Linked DNA regions of Arabidopsis thaliana. The protein of the gene in region 3 interacts with the protein of the main gene of each other region in a pairwise test. Each region holds a gene or a part of one and is shown on either strand. Other genes may lie near its edges. The genes, in order: AT5G10570, AT4G29930 and bHLH071.

Region 1 (7,107 bases), about 16 Mb from region 3:
CGTAATTAAATACAGTATCTGCACTATAAGAAAAAACAACAATTAAAAACAGTATTCACGGCCTAAACCAATCGTTTAAAGATTTGTCTTCTTTGGGGACAAAGAAAAAGAGAGAGAGAGGGTGGTGGCTTCGTGCGACCCAATAACTAACTAACAACAACACTACGGCAAAGAAATGAAGCACTCACATGTCTTAATCTTTTACACGATTGCTTTAATTATGATTTATTAACTTATTAAACAGCTCATCTTATATGAGTATAATAACAAATAAGGAAGCTCTCGTCAGCAAATAGAAATTGTGAGGTCCACATTCGACCATATATTTTAGTGTATAAACTTCGAAACCTAACCTACTCGCACAAACCTCTAGTGCTCTAACCTACCCATATTTTTCCTTTTTAGTTAATTGTGCATACTTTTTGGGTTCACCGTTCATTTTAATAGAAAAATAATTACATTTTTGTCTTAAGATTGATTTGTTTCTATATGATTATTCACCTGCTTGCTTACAGATTACTATTAAAAATTCTATTTTACATTTGTATATGTAAGATGTGATTATTTTTATTTTGTCGGCGTAAAGAAGTGATTTAAGATTTGTGTGTTAAAAATGAAGACGAATGAAAGAGTCCTGTTTTATCTGCTATTTTGATCTGGTTTCTCGTTTATAATATTTTTAAATCAGAATAAATAGTTACAAAAACAAAAACAAATTGTGTCTTTATTATAAAGTTATGTTTTAAACTTAAAATAAAAATTTCTTTTGATAAGTGGACAAAATTTTAAAACTTGTTTTTTTTCTACCAAATGAATTAAGGTTTTCAGTGGCGGTGTCTTTATAAAAAAAAACTTTATCTTATTTTCTTTTTAGTCTACAGTCTTTACCTTTTTTTATTATATGAGTTTTGTATTATTTTAAGTTTGAATGGTGACAATAAAACTTTATTCAAAATTTACGCATAACCATATCAAACTATCAAACTATGTTTTATAAACCATTAAACATATAGAATATAGGATAAGTTAGGTATAAAAACAAATTTTGGATCAAAATAAATCCTCTGATAATCTTATTATGTTCAAGAATTACAACGACTGCGGTTAGACCTATAAAGTCCATTAATCTTTTTTCATGTCGAGTGACCCATCACTAGAAAGGCTTGAAATGGGCCTATGTGTAATCAACCCTTATGTAATTTCTTTTTTTTATAGGAATCAAGGGAAAATAAAATTTCTTTTTTTATAACATAACACGACGTTCTTACAGAAATTTGTCCCTTTTGAAAGATCTTATTTTCATAACACAATCGCCTGGTATGTTATGTAGGATTGTGCAGATACATTAGATATTTTCCTCTAATTAGTAAAATAGACATGTCATATCCATTAATATAATTTTTCATGTCCAGTAGACCAATGACAATAACTATAGACGGTAGAAATGGGCCTAGGTGCAATCGAAACCCTTCTTCTTTAGGAATCCGAAATAAACCGGACGAAACACAATCAGACAAGATCTGGTTTCTGTAAACACATCAGAATTGGGACGGATAAAGTGGAATAGCCATATAGATTGAAAGAATGTGCTTAAGACTACTAGACCAGCTTCAAAGACGATAAAATCTCAGCAAGTCTGAAGAGCAGAAGCATAATTTGATCTAGGAGCAGTTAAACACCTCTCATGTCATTGTTTTATTAACAAGTAGGTTGCCTGAATCACCGCTCCCATTACGAATCATATCATAATCATTCATAAAATCAAATAAAAACAAGCAGAGATTAAAACATGTGAGAACTATCTCAGCGTCCAATATCGAGGGAATCGATTTCGGACAGAACTGAGATAGATCTCCGATTGTGGTCTTTTTTATTTAGGGCGCTGCATTCATCTCTATGGCATCGTTATTTTGCTAAAGAGTCAAACTCCAGTCCCGATTGACATTAAAAAAACCACCAAAACACATAAACCATAAAAACAAATCGCAAGAAAAAAAATTAGCACAGAGATCTATCGAACTATATAGATTGATAATAAGCTTTGAGTGGCCGATTCTCGGATAACTTGATTAGGGTTCAAAGTTAGACGCAGCTATTTAAAGAGGAAACGGATGGAGCTCGTTAGGTCAAAAAGCTGGCAGAATTTTAGTGGACTTTATTTGGGCTTTAGTATAACAGGGCTTATTGGGCCCAAATGAAAACTCTTTTTAACATTTCTGCTCTCTCTATTTTGCATGTTTTATTAATGAGTCGGATTAGAAACCGAGGGGTCAGTCGAGGAGACTAATTGGTAAACATCAATGAGTTCTTTTTACACCTTTGATTTTCCCATTTATCTATCTCCTTATGAAATATCATACTCATCACAAGAGAATAAGAAGAACCGGAAAATATTATCATCATTAAAAAACATTGCAATTTTGAAGCTCCCCTACAGACATCTTCCTCCATAACCTGCGTTTCTGATTAGTGCTTGTTTAGTAGCTTCCGAAGTAACCATGTATCTCTGCTCACCAACCTACATATATACGAAAAAAACAGAATATAACAGAAAATAATTATAGAATATACATTTAATTTGTCGATGCACCAAGTAAGGCTAAATCAAAGTGTAATAATATTTGTACCTCAAAACAAGAAGCCTGCAATGAGAAGTCACTGAAGCAGCTAATGACACATTGTTCAATCTCTAATCCTAGAGTCTCCAATGTACTAACCGTTGATACAACCAAACCCGGTTTCGTAGGACAACATATATCAATATGCGTATTAACTTCCCTTTGATCTACTTCAAACTGCAAAAGATTCGTTTTCGTTATAGCCAGAAAAATTGTCTGCACCTTCAAGTGATTATAATTTTTTGAGTGATATCTAATGGGAATCAAATTGATTCAAGTATATGATGAGGGTGTTTGTAACAAATGATTTGTAATGGGATGAATTTGTAAAAACACAAGACTTATGAGTACTGAAGCACAAATACCATAATAACATTATGTTTTGTTTTTAGCTTTTACCTTTAGGGAGTTTCTGACCATAGATTCGTTTGTAATGAGGGTGCTTAGATGAGAGTTGCTTCCAAGTTCTTGTTCGTCTTCTTGCAACTTGTTAATCTTGTCCAAAAGCTCCTTCATGTAATCTATTGCATCTCCTAGTATCGATGTCCTATCCATCTGATTTTATTATATAATAATCATCAAAAATTATATACATTTTCTCATACAACAAACTCTATGCAGATTCACAAAAAGCAATAACCTTTTATCAGTGAACAGTGTACCAAAAAAAAGATTTCAACAAGAAGAAAACATACATGTAACGTTAAGAACTTAACAAAAAAGGAAGAATATTTCTTCTTGACTTAAAAATAAAAACCATATAACATGTGACAAGGATGAGGTTTATGGAATTTGACCTTGGTGATTTTAGGGACAATGGATCGGAGCAGGGAGAGTCGGTCATTTAACCGTTTCCTCCGCCGTCTCTCCGCCATAAGATTCTTCGAAGGCTGACCTTCAAGCTTCTTGTTACTCCTTTTCTTGTTAGTCTCTCCGATGCTTATGAAGCTCTTGCTTTCCTCCATCAATGGTGAGTAATTGTTGGTGTTCTCTTGCGAAGCCGGAAGGATCAATGGAGGAGGAGAATAAGAGGAGTGTATGATATCCTCGAGAAAAGGATAGTCGAAAGCGGAGGAGAGCGGCGGAGAATCATAAAGAGGTGACGACGGTTGTGGTGGTTGATGAAGCAATGGAGGTGGCTGAGAAATTAGATTCATCAAAGAAGAAGAAGAAGGATGATCAATGTTGTCGTCTTCTTGGAGAAGATTGTTGAAACAGAGGTAATCGAAGTTCCAATCATTTGGGACGAATTGGTCAATCGCCATGAATCCTCCATTAACGCCGTTGAGATTGTTGCTTTCTTGTTTTCTCAATTGCGTCAATTCCGTTTCCATCTCTCTTTCTCTCTATTTTCTGAAACTCTGTTATTTGTGAAAGTGGAAGTGAACAGAGTTTGTGAGCTTGGGGTCAAAGAAGATACAAATGCATGTAAATGCATTACATAAGTGTGAATTGTAATGAAGAATTCACTTTTTAACTGATTAGAATTACTTTATTCCATTTGACATATGTATATTTATGACTTGTTTGTTACATAAAAAGTGGATTTTAATAGTTAAAAATATATATACAAATAAGTAGTTTTGTCTAGTTGTTTAAGGAGAGATCCACTAGAAAACATTACAATTTAGTGTGTTTGTTTTTGATCCATGGTCCAGCACCAACCTATGAGGCATAAGCTGAGATTGATGAAATTTTTTTTTTACTTAATATCGTTTTCTTTTGTGTTGTTGTCTGAATCGTATTATTATTGATGGTTCGTTTTCAGTGACGATATTAAGTAATTTATACGTTCTCTTTGATCGGAAAAATGATCTGACCCACAAAGTATGTCCCGGCCAAAATGAATGAACATCATCATCTAGCTCTCTTCCTTAGTCAACTTATGTATATGATACGAATGGTATTTAATATTAGAAATATCAAATATGAATAATCAGATGCTTACAAAAGTAAGAGATAATGGTCTAGATTTCGAGATTGAGAAGCTGCCATCATATTTGCTTTTTTATTATTATTATTGGATAGGCTTTTGGCACTGAACGTTAATAACATGGAAAAATCTTGAATAGATATATATTATTGTGAGTTTTTGCCATTTCAAAAGTACTCGTATCCGACGATATCGATCAATTACGGGAAAAAATAAACACCCGTGTCTCTTCTAATAGACATAATTCCGCAAATTATTACATTGTGGTGTATCAGTGTATGATTGTATTAATATGGAAAAAGAAAAGACTGACAGGTCAAAGAGATCGAAGAAGGCTTAAGTCAAAGAAATTTGTTTCTTATATCAGAAGCGAGTTGCGTGAGAGTTTGTGGACACACACTGTCTCCTACTCTATCTTCACTCCATTATTTACTACTCAATCGGATATCATTATTGTCTGCATTATATAAGTTGCTTTTCTTTGACAATTCATTGTTTTCATTTCTCAACATTTAAATTGAAAATTAACAAAATTTCATATATTTAAATTTCTAAACTAATCATTCTTGGATACCCATTGACTTTTTTTAAAAAGTATGTGTTTATCCTAATAATTGTTGGTTTAACTAAAACCAGGGATCAACAGTTGGGTTGACAAAGGTTTAGTAAATAAAATAAAGTAACAACCATAAGAAAAAAATGACACAATTTTCAAGGTGAATGCATGCAAGCAGAAGCAGGGATAAGAAAAGATGAAACACGTGAATAAGCTTCAGCCATTATGTGCTATGTGACCATGACTAAGCCACTATGGATGCATATTTGAAAATTTTGGGGTTGTTAGTTAAGTTTCAATATTGGGTTTTGAGTTTTCGGTTCATTTATTTTAGAGAGTTTTACACCAAAGTAAATAATTCTGACTTTTAATATAACTACAATACATAAAATTTGGTGGTTTTAAAATTTTTGTTATTTACAATTAATATTTTTAAATCCTTGTGAATAAAAAATTTATATACAATTTTAAAATACTATCATTTTTAATTTTTTTAAAATAAAATTTAATGTTTTCTTTTGTCAACTAGCTAGAGACACTTGAAACCCACCCATTTGTAAAAGTAAAATTATTCAAGCATTAGTCTACAAAAATTGTAGACCTTGATTAGATAAAGCCCCAATTCATAAATGTTCACTGATCTTAATTAATTACTATAAATCGATTAGATAAAGGCCCATAATGATTTGGCCCCTCTACCGTCCGTCAAATGACAAGTAACAAGAAACAGCAGTGAACCAACCGGTCCAACTGTTAATTTAGATTTTACCGGTCTATTTAGTTCGGTTTAAAACTATACCTTTTAGTTTCCTTTTTCACTCTTCTCTACAGATTTATTTTCCTCCAAAATATGAATCTTCAGTTGACTCTAATCTCCTTACTCTTCTTCACTTCCGCCATAGCTGAAACCTTCAAAAACCTCGATTCTCATCCACAGTTCCCTTGTAAACCTCCTCATTTTAGCTCTTATCCCTTCTGCAATGTCTCTTTATCCATAAAACAACGAGCAATTTCTCTCGTCTCCCTCCTCATGCTCCCAGAGAAGATAGGTCAGCTCTCAAACACAGCTGCTTCAGTACCCCGTCTCGGTATTCCTCCGTACGAGTGGTGGTCGGAGTCTTTACACGGACTCGCCGATAACGGTCCCGGAGTTTCCTTCAACGGTTCGATCTCCGCCGCTACTAGTTTTCCTCAGGTAATCGTATCTGCTGCATCTTTCAATAGAACGCTATGGTACGAGATTGGATCTGCTGTTGCGGTGGAAGGTCGGGCTATGTACAACGGTGGTCAAGCTGGGTTGACGTTTTGGGCTCCGAATATAAATGTGTTTAGGGATCCGAGATGGGGAAGAGGACAGGAGACTCCTGGTGAGGATCCGAAGGTAGTTTCCGAGTATGGAGTTGAGTTCGTTAGAGGGTTTCAAGAGAAGAAGAAAAGGAAGGTTTTGAAAAGAAGATTTAGTGATGATGTTGATGATGATCGTCATGATGATGATGCTGATGGGAAGCTCATGTTATCTGCTTGTTGTAAGCATTTCACTGCCTATGATTTGGAAAAATGGGGGAATTTCACTAGATACGACTTCAATGCTGTGGTAAGACTAAGAACTCTTTTCTTCACTATGTGTAGCTTGTGTATCAACTTCAATTGGATTTTAATTGAGAACTCTCAGGTTTAGTGGATCAGGTTTGACCTAAAATAGAATTAAATCTATAGACTTTATTGAATGCACCTTTCTTTGGTGTTCATGAAACAGAATTTAACTAGTTATATTGCTTCTGGCTTTTGCATTATCTCCATGGTTCTGTGTCGAACACTGAGTCTAGCTTACTCTGTATTAGTAGGTCACAGAACAGGACATGGAAGACACATATCAGCCCCCATTTGAGACTTGTATAAGAGATGGTAAAGCTAGCTGCTTGATGTGTTCATATAATGCAGTTAATGGGGTCCCTGCTTGTGCGCAAGGAGACTTATTACAAAAAGCTCGAGTTGAGTGG
Region 2 (8,724 bases), on a different chromosome or scaffold from region 3:
TTGACCAGTGGTTTTAAACAGTTTTAAATTTTTTAAATAATTTTTTTCTTATTGTGTTCAGCCACATGAAGAGCTAAGCAGAGAAATGAGCTTAAAGACGGCTGTAGAGGAGAAGGAGACAGAGAGCAAGATGATGGAAGAGGTAAGATATGAATTAGCCGATTTGCCAAAATAAGTTGATAGAACATATATATCTGATATTTAACAACCATGGTTAAGTACTGCTTCCATGAACTTGCCTTGACCAGTGATTCTAAACAATTTCAGATTTTAAAAGTTATTTTTCTTATTATGTTCAGCCACATGATGAGCTAAACAGCGAAATGAGCTTAAGTACAGCGGTAGAGGAGAAGGAGACAGGGAGCAAGATGACGGAAGAGGTAAAATGAAATTAGCTGGTTCGCCAAAATGAGTTTATTGAACATATCTATATTAAAGAAACCATGATCAAGTATCGCTTCCATGAATTTGGTTTGACAAGTGGTTTTAGACAATTGTAGATTTTTAAAGTTTATTTGTTCTTATTGTGTTCAGTCACATGAAGAGCTAAGCAACGAAATGAGCTTAGAAGAGAAGGAGACGGGGAGAAAGATGACGGAAGAGGAAGAATTGGAAGCAGTAATGGAGATGCTTTGTAGAACAGAAAACAAGTTACTGGACGTGACGCAGAGGCTTGATAGATTTAAAACACCAAAAGGCCGAAAAAAGTTAGGCAATTCTTCTTCTCCTTTACTTGAAGAAGACTCAGTAGTGTATGTTCCAATAGCAGAGATCAAGGAGAAAAGGTAACAATATATATATATATATCAAGAAAAGAAAAAAGTCCTTTGCAGAAGTTTTGGTATTGTTAGATTCTTTTGGAACGTAGTCTAAGAGAGTACCTAATGTAGTTTTGTGTATTATTCAGTTTGTATGTGTCATTTAAACTTCAGATAAAATCCCCCAGAAAAAAATAAAACTGGGATTTTTTTTTTAATGGAACTTTTTAGCTCTCTTTTTTGAATTATGTACATTTCGTTTTTTATTCTCTTTTTTTTTTTAATTCCCTTTTTCCAAATAACTTTGGCTTTTAATTTTAGTTTAAAAAATAATAAAGCTGAAAGATTTAGGTTCTTACAGATAGAGTAAGATTGGCAACTATATTTTTAGTTTCAACCAAGTAATAATCATAGAAAGATGATGGTTATAGAGAAAGCTTTTAGACCGAGTGTATATAGCGGTAAGAATAAATTGTTTACAAATCTGCAATTATCTGAACATAACTCCTTAACAAAGCCTACTGTCACTTTTATGAGTTTACTAAACATTTGTTGCCTAACTTTACAGATCAAATTGAAACAAATGGCAAGTCTCTCTATTTTGCAACTTACAATATGCATTTGATTCATGTTCATCAATTCAAAGACAAAGTATCCACAAAATCTTTTATAAAGTCATATTTGCTTTTTTAGTTTAACCATATTTCTTTATGTTTTTTTCTTCTTATACTCGGTTATGATTGCAATTAATTCAAATGATTTTTTTAGAAGTATAATTTTTAAGATTATAAGAAGGAACATGCATATTTTTGTTTTATTTTATTAGAAAACATCGGATGTTTTGTAGCTCAAACAAATAAACCCTCACAATAGTAGCTCTTCACATATATTGCATAAAACGGATTTAAGTAAAAAACCAGAAGTAAATTAGAAGTTGATAAGACAATTTGGATCATTATAAGCTGCGATGGCCATCTGTATCTTGGCCTCTACTGCACTGCTTTCTTCTTCATCCGCCTGCAAATTCAACGATTTACTATAATTAATACATCTATCACAATATAAACTAAAACAGTCCTATATTATTTCAATCATACGATATCTTTACAGAATTTTGAAGTAAATTAGGATTCTAGGAAGTCCAACGTCAGTATAGATTATTAAAATTAGGGGTGTTTAGGTTTTACACGAATCAGACAAAAAAAACTTCTTTTTTTTTGGCAGCACGTAAAAAGAAAATTAGAACTGATAAATTTGTGTATATACACCTGCACGCATTACTACTATAATTATTTCCCGTGGAAAATGAGATTGGTGGATAAATCATTGTTTAATGTTTTTGTATAATCTTTAAAAGGACGGATAAGGACAGGTTTGAAATGAAATGATCGACTTTTTATTTGATAAATGATTGGAGTATGATTTCACCAACTCTCAATGACTCCACTGGTCTATACCTCACTGTAATTTTAGCGTCTGATTATATTATCTTTTATCAAGAAAATGTTATAAAGGTGCATAATTCTTTTTTGTCAAAGAAAACCAACATAATATTATATTCATTTGTGAGGCAAGAAATACTCGTATTTGTTGTCATCAAAAATTTCCAACCTACAGCTTATAATATAATTACCTTTTTCAAAAAAAATAGAACGTTAGTTCACGAAACTAGCATTTTTGTAATTAGATTGTTTACACCAAAGTCCTAGTATATGATGATGATAAACAAATCAAATAGATAGAGATAATGAAATGAATTTGTATTTTTTAGAGTAAAAACACAAAATAATAACTCTTAACAAATCTGCTTATATTAAAAAGGACCAAACCTTAATTTCTACCATGAACTGCTATGGATATCATTTGGAGTAACTAATTTTTACCAAAATGATTAGCATAATGAAGACCTTATGAACCATATACAACTAGTTAACACAAATAACTTGCTAATTGGCTACAGTTGATTTGTAGCCTATTGTTAATTTGAGTTAAGAATTGATATAAGGTGTAGTGCTAGAAAAGTCACGTGCTAAAAGTGTGAAAGAGACAAACGTTGAACCGCGTGAGGTTATAAATTAGCCACGTTTTTCTAGTGCTACTATGCTTGGACGGCACTTTCTGGGACACGAGGCACTTGAGATTTCACACACTAATTTTTTGATTAAGTTAATCCTAATTTTTTATGGAATATGACATTTAACTTTTGAGAGAATCTAACCCTATCAGAAAAAGTCAAGGCGAAATTCGAAAAAAATGTGATGGGCTCGAGGCAACCTCAATAATTGGAGCTTTAATTGATTGATTAAGATATTACTGACTATATATACTTAAGGTGTAATGTGAATTAAGGTCCACTTAATGGAGACAGGTGGGAGAAAAGTAGTAATTAAATGGGTCCGTCTAAAGGTTATCCTTTTGAATTTGATAGTGATTTTCCAAACAATTCGTAAGTTTGAATTACATTTTTGTACTATTACGTAAAGATAACATATTTTCTTTACCAAAACAAAAGAACAATCCACTTTACTAAAGCACTTAGTCATATGCTTTTTATTCATATTATTAATTCTTGTCCACTAAAGGATTTGTCTACGTGCCGTCAGACGACCATTTTTCTCCCAAAATAACCAAAAAGAAAAGAAAATAGTAAGATTTGAATTTGGTATATAAAAGTCTGAATAGTTGCGACAAATTAAAAATGGACAAATATATTTGGTTGGTGTGTTTTATAGTCCGACAAGTGCATAAAACTAATTTTATAGCTGATTACAATTGATCTAACATTCTTTATTAGCAAGAATCTTCTAAACTATATTATCATCTCTTTCCATTAACATTTTATAATTTCGCTCCATGAGTGCAAAATGAGCGTCAAACCAAAACAAGACACGTACAGTATTCTCTAGATGCATTTAGAATTTTGTAGTTTGTACTAGTAATCACATTGCCAAATAAAGATATGAGAGAGGGAGAGAGGGAGAGAGTGACCTGGAGGAAGAGGGTGGTGGAGAGACGAGAGGTGAAGGAAGAGAAGTTAGTAGTGAGAATGTTGAGATTCAAAGACTCCAACACTTTACAAAGCTGCACCATTGTCTCTCTTTTCTTGCTACATGTTATGCATACCACTACCGTCTTCTCTCCCATCCATGTCACTTTCATCTGTTTTTTCATGTTTATATAAAAACAATTTGGAATAATTAACTTTACCTCAAAAGAAAGGTAATTTAGAATGTACTGCCAAATAATGCATAGTACGTACTTCGAGAACTTCAATGGGGTAGTGTTGTACTCTAGTACTGTAATCCATCTGCTTAAACTTTTTTGATCTCATGTCATTATTGTCTGAGAAATCTTGCAGATGAGTTTCCGCAAAATTGCAATCGTAATCTCTTACCGGATTTTCTAGCAATGTTGACCGTGATTCTAGCTCTCTGATCTCTGCTTCTAGAGTCTTCTCTTGATCAATAAGTTCTTGCATATAGTCGATAGAATCTTTGATGACAGATGCCTTGTCCAACTAAAAATAGATAAATATTAATACTTCAATAAAATCCAGTCTTAATCAACAAATCATCACACGTATACAATTATATGCTATCAGGGTAATTAGGGGACCAAAATACATTTTAGTATGGCTTGATATGGATTTAGAGTATCAAAAATTTGGTTTGCTTATTTGTTTAATGTTGGTTGGATTTGGTTTAACCAGATTGTATTTGTATAGTTTTATTTCTTTACAAAAGAAAGAAGAGAAAGTTTATTCGCTTATTTAATTTCTGTTGACCAAAACAAAAATTGCTGGTGACGAAACTTTATTACTAAATTATTTGGATAACAAATTAAATTTAAAAGAGACAGTTGATTAAACAAATAAGAGAAGTAATGGAATAATTAATCATACCTTGCTTATATTGGGAACAACTGACCGGAGAGCAAAAAGTCTCTGATTAAGCTTTTGCCGTCTGTTTCTCTCGGAGACAACGTTCTTCGAAGAAGCCGGCGACGTTGCCGCTCCGTCTGGCGAACTCGACTCGCCGGAACCCGAAAACGCTTCCTCCATCGGCCAACTTAAATTTTATAATTTATAACAATTTTCATTAATTACCAACTAAAGCAAGATTAATCTTTATCGGAAAAAAAAACTAAAGAAACAAAAAAAAAAAAAATGGACCAAGATTCTAGTAAGCACCTGTCAAATTCGAGTTCTTGATTCTGGAAGAACATTGTGGTTTCCCAGTAATTCTTGTACTCATGGTCGAGATCTTCCATTTTTCGGACACACAAAGATGATGCTTTCTTGAAATGGAAGGTTTTGTTATTTCTGTTTGTCCTTTCTTTCTTTCTTTGTGTCTTTCTATTGAGTGTACTATCAAAACAAGAGTGGGCCGAGGATTTTATACATAAAGAGTCTGACAGAGAGTTTTTAAGCACGTGGGATCTTAATCTCCTGAAATAATTATATACGATCTTGACCGTTCAATTCAGAGATCAAAATCTGTTTCCTTTTGTCCAATTGAAAAACAAAGAAAAGAGTGTATCGTATCTATCTCTTTCACTCACAATATGCATTATTCATATACTCAAATGGGTATAGACCGTATAGTACTTGAATTTAGGGCGTGTTCAATTCCAATTTCATTTTATTTTTGTGAGGTACTAGAAGAGTATCTGAGTATAAATGCAAAATTCTGTTCTTGTAGATATTAATCATTTGTTTTTCTTCTAATTTCGATCCTTAAAGTTAGAAGATGATGTCTAAGTAAGGAAAGAAGATACGTACTAGGTTTTTTTTAAACAAAAATAAAAGATACGTAGTTTCAGAATTCAAAGATTTAAACATAGGTAGACATCGTGGCTATGTGTATGCGTACGTAATGATTATGGCCAATAATGGTGATGATTAGTTGATTGTCAACTTTTTTTGCTAAATTTTATTGAAAATATAACCCACTTGGGTCCAGGATATTCTTTCATGTCCCTTGATTTGAATGCAGTAAATCTATGTTTTCTTCTATTATTTGTGGATATATATTTTCTTCTGATTTTTGAGTGTCTATATATTTATAAAATTCCATCTTCTTTAGATACTGTTATGAAATAAGTTGAGATATATGATTTTAACAAAGTAAGCTATAACCACGGACTTATCTAGCAATATTAAACACAAAATGTGACTGAAAAGCGAAATAATGTGGGGGTGATCCAAAATCTAAAGTATATAAAAATCAAATATCATAGACAGAAAATATTCATAGAATTAGATAATATAGCATATGCAATTTTATTCTACTGAATTGTAACTAAAGAAATATTGATTATTTAATGGTGTCAACTGAATTAAAAGTTGTGAAACGATTCGTAAAACTCTATTTATGATGGTGGAAATATTTTTTTCAATGGTTATGTATCATACATTTGAGTTCTCAGTTCTTTCAAGAATTTGTAAAACGTGGAAAGACATCAAGAAAACTGAAGACGGTCACTAAATCATACAACATACACATACTAAACAATACAACTAGTTCCACATTAATCCATTATACTCAAACTAAATCTAGTATCTATCTTATGAACTAAAAAAAAATCTAGTGTCTATCAATATGGAAAGGTTTTTACTTATATCGGCTTTGCTCCATACCCCGTGATTTTATTCAGAACTTTTAATCTGGATTAGAAATCCGAAAATACTGAGTTTGAGAAACAAATCGAAAAAAGTAAAAACTGTTTTCTCAAATCATTCGTCTCTCACTTACTAAACTCTTGAGAAAATGTGTAGGAAAAAGTTGTATTTTAATTGTATGAAATGAACAGTGTTTCGTTCCTTATGATATTGTTTTCACATTACTAAAGTCGTGGCTTGGATGGCCCAACATGATCTTGGTGATCAAAGATGATTATAATAAAATTATTTGCTAAATAAAATTATTTAACGTACTTATGTATGCTACCACGTGTATGGAGGATAGTGTATGATATGACTTGATATGGTTTTGGTTAAGAATTCATTAAAAGTCTTAATATTTAATTTATTTTGTATGCATAATCGTATTTCCTTTTGTTTATTAGGCTAATTAAAAGCTGTTCTATCTATAATCTTTGGAAGATTCATAAATTTTGATGACTCACCCACCTTGCAATTGCAAATGTATGGAATTGATTATATTGGGTCCAAATGACAACTAAACATTCCCAATATTGTCGGAGTCTAATTCTTTCGTTTCTTATTAAATATGAGGAAGTGTTTCTAGAAGAGTAAGAAGAAAATCGCAGTTCAATTTTGAAATCTACTTTTGTAGTAGAAAGCTGTATAAACAACATCCGTTCACGTTAGCTAGAATACGAAAAAATGTAACGAGTATTGAAACTCCGGTTCAATCTTACGTTACGATATCGGTTAACCAACTTCGACGACTTAAACCCATTCATCAAACAAAATGAACAAAATATGCCGATATGAGAGAAAGTAATTCGACTAAAATTCATTATTTATTTCAAAACATGCAAGAAACTTATTGGGCTGAAAAAACACATGTTGGGCTGAAGGCACGGATTGAACAGAGATATATTTTGAGTTCGGCCCAGACAAAGATGCTTAATGGTTTAGCCCGTTTGAATGTTCCAAAATTTAGTCTTGACTCTTCTTAAGTGTGTGAAGAAAAATGGTGTAAATTGTAATTTCAGTCATTTATGTAAAGTTTTGAAAATTTTCCATGTGGCCTTTTAAGTTTACAAATACAAAATAAATTTATTTAAAACTGGAAGCACGTTTAGATGAATATATAAATCAACAATAAACGAAAACGCAACATATACAAAAAAAAATAAAATAAAAAACAGCAAAGTAATTTACAACGTCCAAACAAAAATTACCAAAGAAAGTTTCCATAATTAATTACATAGAAGCTTTTTATTTTTGTTTCTTGTTCTATCTATCATAATATAACATGTAAATAATGAAGAAACTCCATCATAATATAGCGTCGTATCCTAACAAGAATTGAATAGCTACTGAAGAAATTCCATCATAACATAATATGTAAGTATTTTCTATGGCCAATCAAGTCTAGTCATAGGCTATAATTTTGGAGTAAAGTAACTATGATATTTTCTTTTTTTTTTGTCAAAGAACTATGATATTTATTTTCTTTCTAGTCGACAGTTAGGAATATAAAGAATCACTTGCGACGTATTGAGTTATTTATTTGTCTTGTGATGGAAGTAAAGAAACATTCGTTCAACAGTACCCAACAAAAGACAAATATAAAAGTGAATGACAATAAAATTTGTTAAAAAGAAAGAGCTTAATTATTCCTCTTTGACCGATCCTCTCCAATGATTTGTTCCGTTTTTCGTTTCCCTTTTTAATTTTCCTTTTTATATATAATTTTTTTATCAAACTATAGGCAGTTTGGTAACAACTAAATAAAATCATATTTTGGGCATTAATTTTTGTGCCAATCTTTGTTAAAAAGAAATTCGACTAGCAACTAATATTTACGTTTAAAAATATGTTAACCTCTTAGAGGTTTTAAAATATATATACATATTTGTTAACCTCATAGAAATTGGATTATTGTTTTCACTGTAAGCTTATCCTTCTGCAAAAAATCATTTATCACTAAGTATGAGACATAGATATACGGAGATACACATTACACAGCAAAGGTGACACTAATAAATAGATAATAAAGTTAATATTCCCAATATAAACAAAACTAAAGATACGTATATGATCTTTAGTTTTGGATACGACGCTAGATGATCAAAAGAATTTTATATGAAACCAAAGTTTCATCTTTTAAGTTATAAAAATAGTGAAAACTATCCATAAAAGATGTAAAAGGTGAAAAATGCTTTTTTGACTGCAATAGTTGAACATTGTACTACTACTACTTATCGTAATATCGTATAGCCACTTTAACCTAACTTTTTCATTTTCTTAAAAACATGATAAGTATATAACATG
Region 3 (7,419 bases):
TAAATCGAGAAGGGTTGGTTCTGTGGATTGGATGATGAGAGAGCTTAAGAAATCGGGCTATACTCCGAATGCGGTTACGTATACAACGATGCTTAAAATGTATTTTAAGACTAAGAGGATTGAGAAAGGTCTTCAGTTGTTTTTGAAGATGAAGAAAGAAGGGTATACGTTTGACGGGTTTGCGAATTGTGCGGTTGTTAGTGCGTTGATTAAAACCGGAAGAGCAGAGGAGGCGTATGAGTGTATGCACGAGCTTGTGAGAAGTGGTACAAGGAGTCAAGACATTGTTTCGTACAATACATTGTTGAATTTGTATTTTAAAGATGGGAACTTGGATGCAGTAGATGATCTATTGGAGGAGATTGAGATGAAGGGGTTGAAACCTGATGACTATACTCATACGATTATAGTCAATGGTTTGTTAAATATAGGCAATACGGGAGGAGCCGAGAAGCATTTGGCATGTATCGGAGAGATGGGGATGCAGCCGAGTGTTGTCACTTGTAACTGTTTGATTGATGGGTTGTGCAAAGCAGGTCATGTAGATCGTGCAATGAGGTTGTTTGCGTCAATGGAAGTTAGAGATGAGTTCACTTACACTTCTGTTGTGCATAATCTATGCAAAGACGGACGGCTTGTTTGTGCTTCGAAGCTGCTCTTGTCGTGTTACAATAAAGGAATGAAGATTCCGTCATCGGCTAGACGAGCAGTGTTGTCCGGCATACGGGAGACGGTATCTTACCAAGCAGCAAGGAAGACACATATCAAAATCAAAGCAGCTATTGAGTGTAATACACTAATGTACCCTTAAGACATTGAAAAGTATCTAATAGAAAAATTATTGAATTGTACATGAGCATAAGGGATGTTTTCATACTAAATTCTAGTCGAGATTTGACAACTCTCTTAACCATTTGAATATTTGTAATATTAGCCAAAGTCTCATCAACCATATCAATGACTCGAGTTATTAAGCAACAAGCTCTTCAATATAGCTAAGTTTTTGATAATTTATCAGTTACTTTGTTTAATTTTAGTCATTTGATTAGAGTTTTGGTCAGAGTCTTTTAAGAATTAAGGGACCAAAGTAACTTCAGACAAAATGACCAAAGACACCACTTTTGAAACCACTGGTCCCAAAAACGAAGCCATGTTACTCATGTGCTGCTTCTGAACACAGTTAAAAAGCTAATCTTTGAACTATGAACCTACTCTCTAGAACTTTTTACTATTTGGGTTTCTTTGTTTTTAACAGAAAACAGTAAAGTTTTTTTTTTTTTTTTGCAGAGGACTAAAAGATAAGACTGAGTCTAGTCTCTCGACGTGGACAAATCTGACAAGAACAGTTACTGCTCTTCGTCCTCTTTGTTGTTATTGTCGTCTCTCTCTCTCGGACTTTGTAAAATGTTACACTGACTTCTCTTAATCTCTCTACGTAAGTACAAAGATCTATTGCATGTTAGAGATGATGTTTTCAGAATTTTTTTAGAGACATGAACACGTGTTTGTTTGTTGATGCAACGAATCAGATTAGAGTAGACACGTTTTCTAGGTTTAAAAACATTCACAGGAATCTTTTTAAGTTAAATTCTTGATAAGAAATAGAGACGAGTTTGTCCAAAAAAAAAAAAAAAGAGAGATAGAGACGTTGGAACTTGGAAGCAAAAGGTTTTTGTTGCTTGTCAAAGAGATTAAGAGAATATAGTTTTGAATTAACCAACAAATAGAGTCTGATTAATATTAAGTGTGTATACTTTACTTAGCATAACAAATGTGAATTGTATTTAGCAATTATAAATACTGAGATCATCCAAAAACCCTAGTGGTGGAAACAAATCGAACCGATAAAACAACTCTAACCCTAAAGGTCGTCACAAAGAAATCTTATATGAAAAGACTCAAAATAAACCAAAAGGTTAATTAAGAGAATAAAAGGAGTCTACATACTAGATACCTTAAAACTAATACTATTGTAGTATTGTTTGATTTTCGCTTGCTATTGTCAAATTCGTGAAAGTTAACATTTTCCCTTTTTGGGTATTAGAGCAACGGCCATTGTTGAGTGGTAAACGAATAAACAAATTTAGTAATTGTAGTCTAATTATAGGTCGTTAATTTGGTTTTGTACACTTTATCACTTGTAGAATTTTGCATGGAGTGTTTTGTTTCTGTTACCGAAAATATTTGATTGATTTTGTGTCCGGAGCTGTTGTCTAATTCGTGAAAGTTAACGTTTTTTGTTTTTGTTTTTGAGAGATCTGACAATTTGTATCAGAAAAAAACAAAAAAGTGCAGATAGTTAAAAAGTAATTTAAATAAATAGAGAAATTTGTTTTAAATCACGGGTTGTGTTTTTTACCTTCATAGCTTCTTCTGGTCCTTCTAATGTGCAAACAAAACTGACTGATGAAATGGAGACAGTCCTTTTTTAATTATAAGCATACAATTGCAATTAATAATTACTCACTTTTCCCAATATTATAAAAAAAAATCTTATGGATATATATATATTCAAGAGGAAAATAAATAGCAATTGTGAGATTTTGCTTTCTTCCAGCACTCATTTGTCTCTTTACGTGTATGTTATTGTCCGGTCCCCACGGTCCAACATTGCTAAATACCTAACCGGTTTGGTCCCATTTGTTTTTCTTCTTGAGTCGAATATTTGGAATTTGGTCTCCATTTAGATGATTGAGTTTTCTTCCTTTTTTTTTTTTTATCGAATACCATATCACATATATACGCTTTGTTTTTGCATTTGCATTATAAAAGTCTTCAAACATTTTTCGGTAAAATGCCAACGCATGATCTCAAACGTAAAAATGAGATTCAACTATGCAAACAATTGCGTTAACATTTCTGTATAGAAGTCTGAGTTTTGCAACGAACAAGAATTACATATGGTTCCTTTTGGGGGTTGCAAAGAGTTGTTTTTAGGTTGAAACTTGAAAAATGTAAAAAGATTAAAGGTTTTTAGAGTAGTGAAAAGGGTAATTAAGTGAAAAAGAAAGAATGGTCCACGATTTCGAGAAAAGAACAAGACCTTAGACTCTCTCTGACCCCTCTCACGTGCCACCAGCACTCCATTGCTCTTCTTCCTTCTCTAATCCTTTTCTCATCTATGAATATATATACATATGCATTTTATATTTATTTATACACTATGAGTTAATCAAAAAACAAATTGTACGTTATGATTTTAGGTAAACGATTACAATTTATACAGCTTGTGTCATTTATTTTTGCCAACTCCTTAAACATATATCAAAGCATGGTAAACGTAGTCTTTTCTTCGAAGTCGATAACTTCATCGGTTAAACCTGGCTGAACTATTAACCTATATCGAGTACATGTGGTTTATGTTTCCATTTTCCAAATTCTTATATAAAATAAAATATATGATCAAAATAGATGACTCGAGAAAAAGAAAAAAAAAAACATATATTGAGAAATCATATGATCTTTGTATCTCTTCTTATCATAATTTAGGTTTGTGATAATAAGTTAGTCAAGTGTACGAATTGCAACTGATAATATGTGGAAACATGAAAATGAATATATATGTGATTATGCATGTTTTTAGCAATAGTCAAGCTTTTACAAGATTTAATAAGAAAAAGTATGGCATTCAGCAAAGTCCATAATTAAGTTTTCTTCAGAAGTACCCTTCCATGATAGTACCGATCACAATCAAATAATGTCTCACATGTACACACACTCAGAGCACCATAGCTTCAACGTTTGTCAAGAAAAAAATTTCCTTTTAATCATTGCCTTTTATTTTTTCGAAAATGTCGTTTTCGCCCGCAAATATTTATAACCTTTATATATTTTTTTCGAAAACAATAAATTAAAGATTTGGAATGTTGCTATATAAATCAATGATACTTAGTAATTCAATAAGGAATAAACTTCGTGAAGAGAAATGACTCTAGAAGCTTTATCATCAAACGGTCTTTTAAACTTTTTGCTCTCTGAAACTCTTTCACCAACTCCATTCAAGTCTCTCGTCGATCTCGAGCCATTGCCGGAAAATGATGTCATCATATCGAAGAACACAATTTCGGAGATATCTAATCAAGAACCGCCACCACAGCGACAACCACCAGCTACGAATCGAGGGAAGAAGCGGCGGAGGAGGAAGCCTAGGGTTTGCAAAAACGAGGAAGAAGCTGAGAATCAACGAATGACTCACATTGCCGTCGAAAGAAATCGAAGAAGACAAATGAATCAACATCTCTCTGTCTTGCGATCTCTCATGCCTCAACCTTTTGCTCACAAGGTTTAACTTTTATGGATATATATTCTTTTTAATGTTTGTAAAGTTTCAAGTAGGGTTTCAATTTTTATGGATAATTTTTTTAAATGGTTTACTATTTCGATTTGGGTTTCAATTAATATTTACAATTCACTGAAAAAGATTAAATTTTCATCTTGAGTTTTATTTTTTATGAAAGATTCATTCTAACGGTTTAAATCTATTTGATTTTCAATATTTATGGCCAATTCTAAAAAATTGATTTTTTATTAAATATATATTTGGGTTTTTATTTGTTTACTTATATGTTGTTTTGGTGGATTTATTTGTTTCCCCATGAAAGGGTGATCAAGCTTCAATAGTTGGTGGAGCCATAGATTTCATCAAAGAACTTGAACACAAATTACTATCTCTTGAAGCTCAAAAACATCATAATGCTAAATTAAACCAGTCGGTTACTTCTTCAACAAGTCAAGACTCAAATGGTGAACAAGAGAATCCTCATCAACCATCTTCACTATCTCTATCGCAGTTCTTTCTTCATTCATACGATCCGAGCCAAGAGAATAGGAACGGCTCAACAAGCTCGGTGAAAACCCCTATGGAAGATCTTGAGGTGACTCTAATCGAAACTCATGCTAACATCAGAATCTTGTCGAGAAGAAGAGGTTTCCGGTGGAGCACGTTGGCCACCACCAAACCGCCGCAGCTTTCGAAGCTGGTGGCTTCTCTACAATCGCTGTCCCTCTCCATTCTTCACCTTAGTGTCACAACATTGGACAATTATGCTATTTACTCCATCAGCGCTAAGGTAATAAAATTAAAACCCTATCATCTGAACCGGACTAAACCGGATTAGTTTCAATGCAATTTGTGCGGTATTTAGATCAAACAGATTACAAGATAGGACATTTATGCTATTTACTCTATCAGTAACTGATGAAAAAAAAAAAAAAACTCTATCAGTAACTAGGGTGATACAAACCGGAGCTAAACCGGATTTGTTCAAATGCGACTTGAGGGGTATTTTGGGAATATATGTTAGGAATTTAAAGCTAGACGGTCGATTATGTGCGGTCCAAGGGACAGAGCATATAAAAGGAATGTCTATGAGCTCTTAACTAGATTTGGTCCAACATTTATTACCATACTTGGTGGAGTCATTTTTCTTATTTTTCACCCATTTCTTGAAAACAGGTTCAATTATTGCCACGTGGGTTATAAAAATTGTAACAATTTGAAGCTTTTTTCAAATTCACATTATGCTATTTTTGTAAAATCATTTTCTTATTGGATGTTGAAAGGTGGAAGAGAGTTGCCAGCTAAGTTCAGTAGATGACATTGCAGGAGCAGTTCACCACATGCTAAGTATCATTGAAGAGGAGCCTTTTTGTTGCTCATCAATGTCAGAATTACCATTTGACTTCTCTTTGAATCACTCAAATGTCACTCATTCTCTCTGAGAAATCTCTTTTTTGTTGTTGTTATTCCTTCTTTTAATTTTATCACATAGCACATCTTTAGTTTTTTTTTTTCAGAATGAAGAAACACATAAGCTTTCTTTTAAAATCCTAGGTTCTTTTTCTGACTTTGTAAAGGCTAAATGTGAATTTATAATGGCACATAACATATTAGTTGTTTTACTCTTAATTTTATGCATTTTCTGATAGTAATTAAGTTATAAATTAGTACACTTGTGAGTGTTTGAATTGTTTTATATATATAACTGGATTCTTATATATACAAATCATCAAAAAATTTAGCTAGGCTCTCGATCTTGGATATTAGTTAGTAGAGAGTATATACTAAAAATCTTTTTAAGTGTGTTTATAAAATTTCAAGGGCTAAACAGATGATATTTTATGGAGATAGTTGTCAATTTAAGAGGCTAAGTTGTAACATGCAAATGGAAAAATCTAAAGAAATCAATTACGTGTTAATGTGTAATCGTATTAAAATCTTTTTGTGATAAATTAATTTGGATATTCTGTTACAGAAGATTTTAAGACATCCGCCATCATTGCGAGTGAGATTGTTGTGTTCGGTTGCTTATGTTGTTATATTACCATCAACATCCACGACACTATTTTATGGACCTTTCTCCAGTGGCCCATATTAATAGTTTTAGATATGGGCTTTATTTGATATATCCGTCTAGCTTTAGGCCACCAAGGCTGGCAACAGAGGCGAGAGTACTTCACTTTAGTATTCGGACAAGGTTTATATTTCTCCAAAATTGTTTGCTATCTTTCGACTTAATTTGCACTCATACTCGATAGGATGATAAATGCTCATCATTTTGGTACAATACACAATTTTTTTGGTACCCGCTGCTTTTTTTTCGTTCAATGCTTATCATATTCGACTTTACTCGTAACCGACGATCTTTGTACCCATAAAGAAGTGGAAATCTTGACTTTTCTTCACGAAATAAAGATTCTCTTCATTATCTCCTTTGGACTCCATGCGAATTTGGTCAACATGTTCACATTTTCCACATAACTGGTTCGTTCTAAGAAGGGTATTGTTGTTTATTATAAAGGGAATAGAAACAAATTTATTTTGTTTTTAGATTGTTAGCATATATACAATTAATGTCTGTATATAAAAAGAAATTAGGATATGTATTTGATTTTTGTTTTCTGTTCTATTAATATGTACCTTTATGTGAAAAATACTTGCATTTGTTGAGAGAACACGAAAAGATATACATAGACCCGCGTAATCTCTCCCGTTTAACTAAGATTGTTTAGGGCTGGGCACAAGGCAAGTACTTGCCGATTTGGAGGTACTTGTGACTTGACTTGCCTTGTCAAAGTAATTGGATTTTTGGCTTGTTATTTGCCTTGTTAAAACGAGTACTTGGTCTACCAAGTATTTGTCTAAATTTTAATTACTTGCAAGTTACTTGACCCACCTTGTTACTTGTCAAAATTAAATACTTTTACTTGAACCTAAAATATTTGGAATAAAAAACCCTATTTCATACATAATATTTAAGGTCAATGAGTTTTGTTATAATAAATTTTAAAATTTTAGCTTTTATAGACCAAACCAAAATTATAAATTTGTTATAATAATTTAAGCATTAGTATGTTAGTAACAAATATACAATGTTCAACAATTAACAAGGTAAGTAATAGAAAAAAAAAAAATCCAGA

Evidence for each region.
Region 1: the proteins of bHLH071 (region 3) and AT5G10570 interact in a two-hybrid assay, tested with the Arabidopsis thaliana proteins (one large-scale study listed by BioGRID).
Region 2: the proteins of bHLH071 (region 3) and AT4G29930 interact in a two-hybrid assay, tested with the Arabidopsis thaliana proteins (one large-scale study listed by BioGRID).

What each region holds. Positions count from the first base shown.
Region 1 is NC_003076.8:3,338,202-3,345,308, reverse strand, and holds AT5G10570 (basic helix-loop-helix (bHLH) DNA-binding superfamily protein), read right to left. Parts: upstream 4,110-7,107; 5' UTR 3,953-4,109; coding exon 3,416-3,952; intron 3,174-3,415; coding exon 3,018-3,173; intron 2,796-3,017; coding exon 2,628-2,795; intron 2,519-2,627; coding exon 2,432-2,518; 3' UTR 2,230-2,431; downstream 1-2,229. Other genes in the region: AT5G10560 (Glycosyl hydrolase family protein), read left to right, coding at 5,958-6,701, 6,952-7,107.
Region 2 is NC_003075.7:14,640,411-14,649,134, reverse strand, and holds AT4G29930 (basic helix-loop-helix (bHLH) DNA-binding superfamily protein), read right to left. Parts: upstream 5,142-8,724; 5' UTR 5,028-5,141; coding exon 4,948-5,027; intron 4,826-4,947; coding exon 4,660-4,825; intron 4,276-4,659; coding exon 4,018-4,275; coding exon of another isoform or gene 3,967-4,017; exon of another isoform or gene 3,918-3,966; coding exon 3,630-3,917; 3' UTR 1,776-3,629; downstream 1-1,775. Other genes in the region: PRHA (pathogenesis related homeodomain protein A), read left to right, coding at 62-142, 300-380, 535-789.
Region 3 is NC_003076.8:18,941,714-18,949,132, forward strand, and holds bHLH071 (beta HLH protein 71), read left to right. Parts: upstream 1-3,829; 5' UTR 3,830-3,925; coding exon 3,926-4,282; intron 4,283-4,601; coding exon 4,602-5,069; coding exon of another isoform or gene 5,070-5,117; exon of another isoform or gene 5,118-5,562; coding exon 5,563-5,721; 3' UTR 5,722-5,924; downstream 5,925-7,419. Other genes in the region: AT5G46680 (Pentatricopeptide repeat (PPR-like) superfamily protein), read left to right, coding at 1-811. UniProt on the Arabidopsis thaliana protein: Transcription factor. May be involved in the differentiation of stomatal guard cells.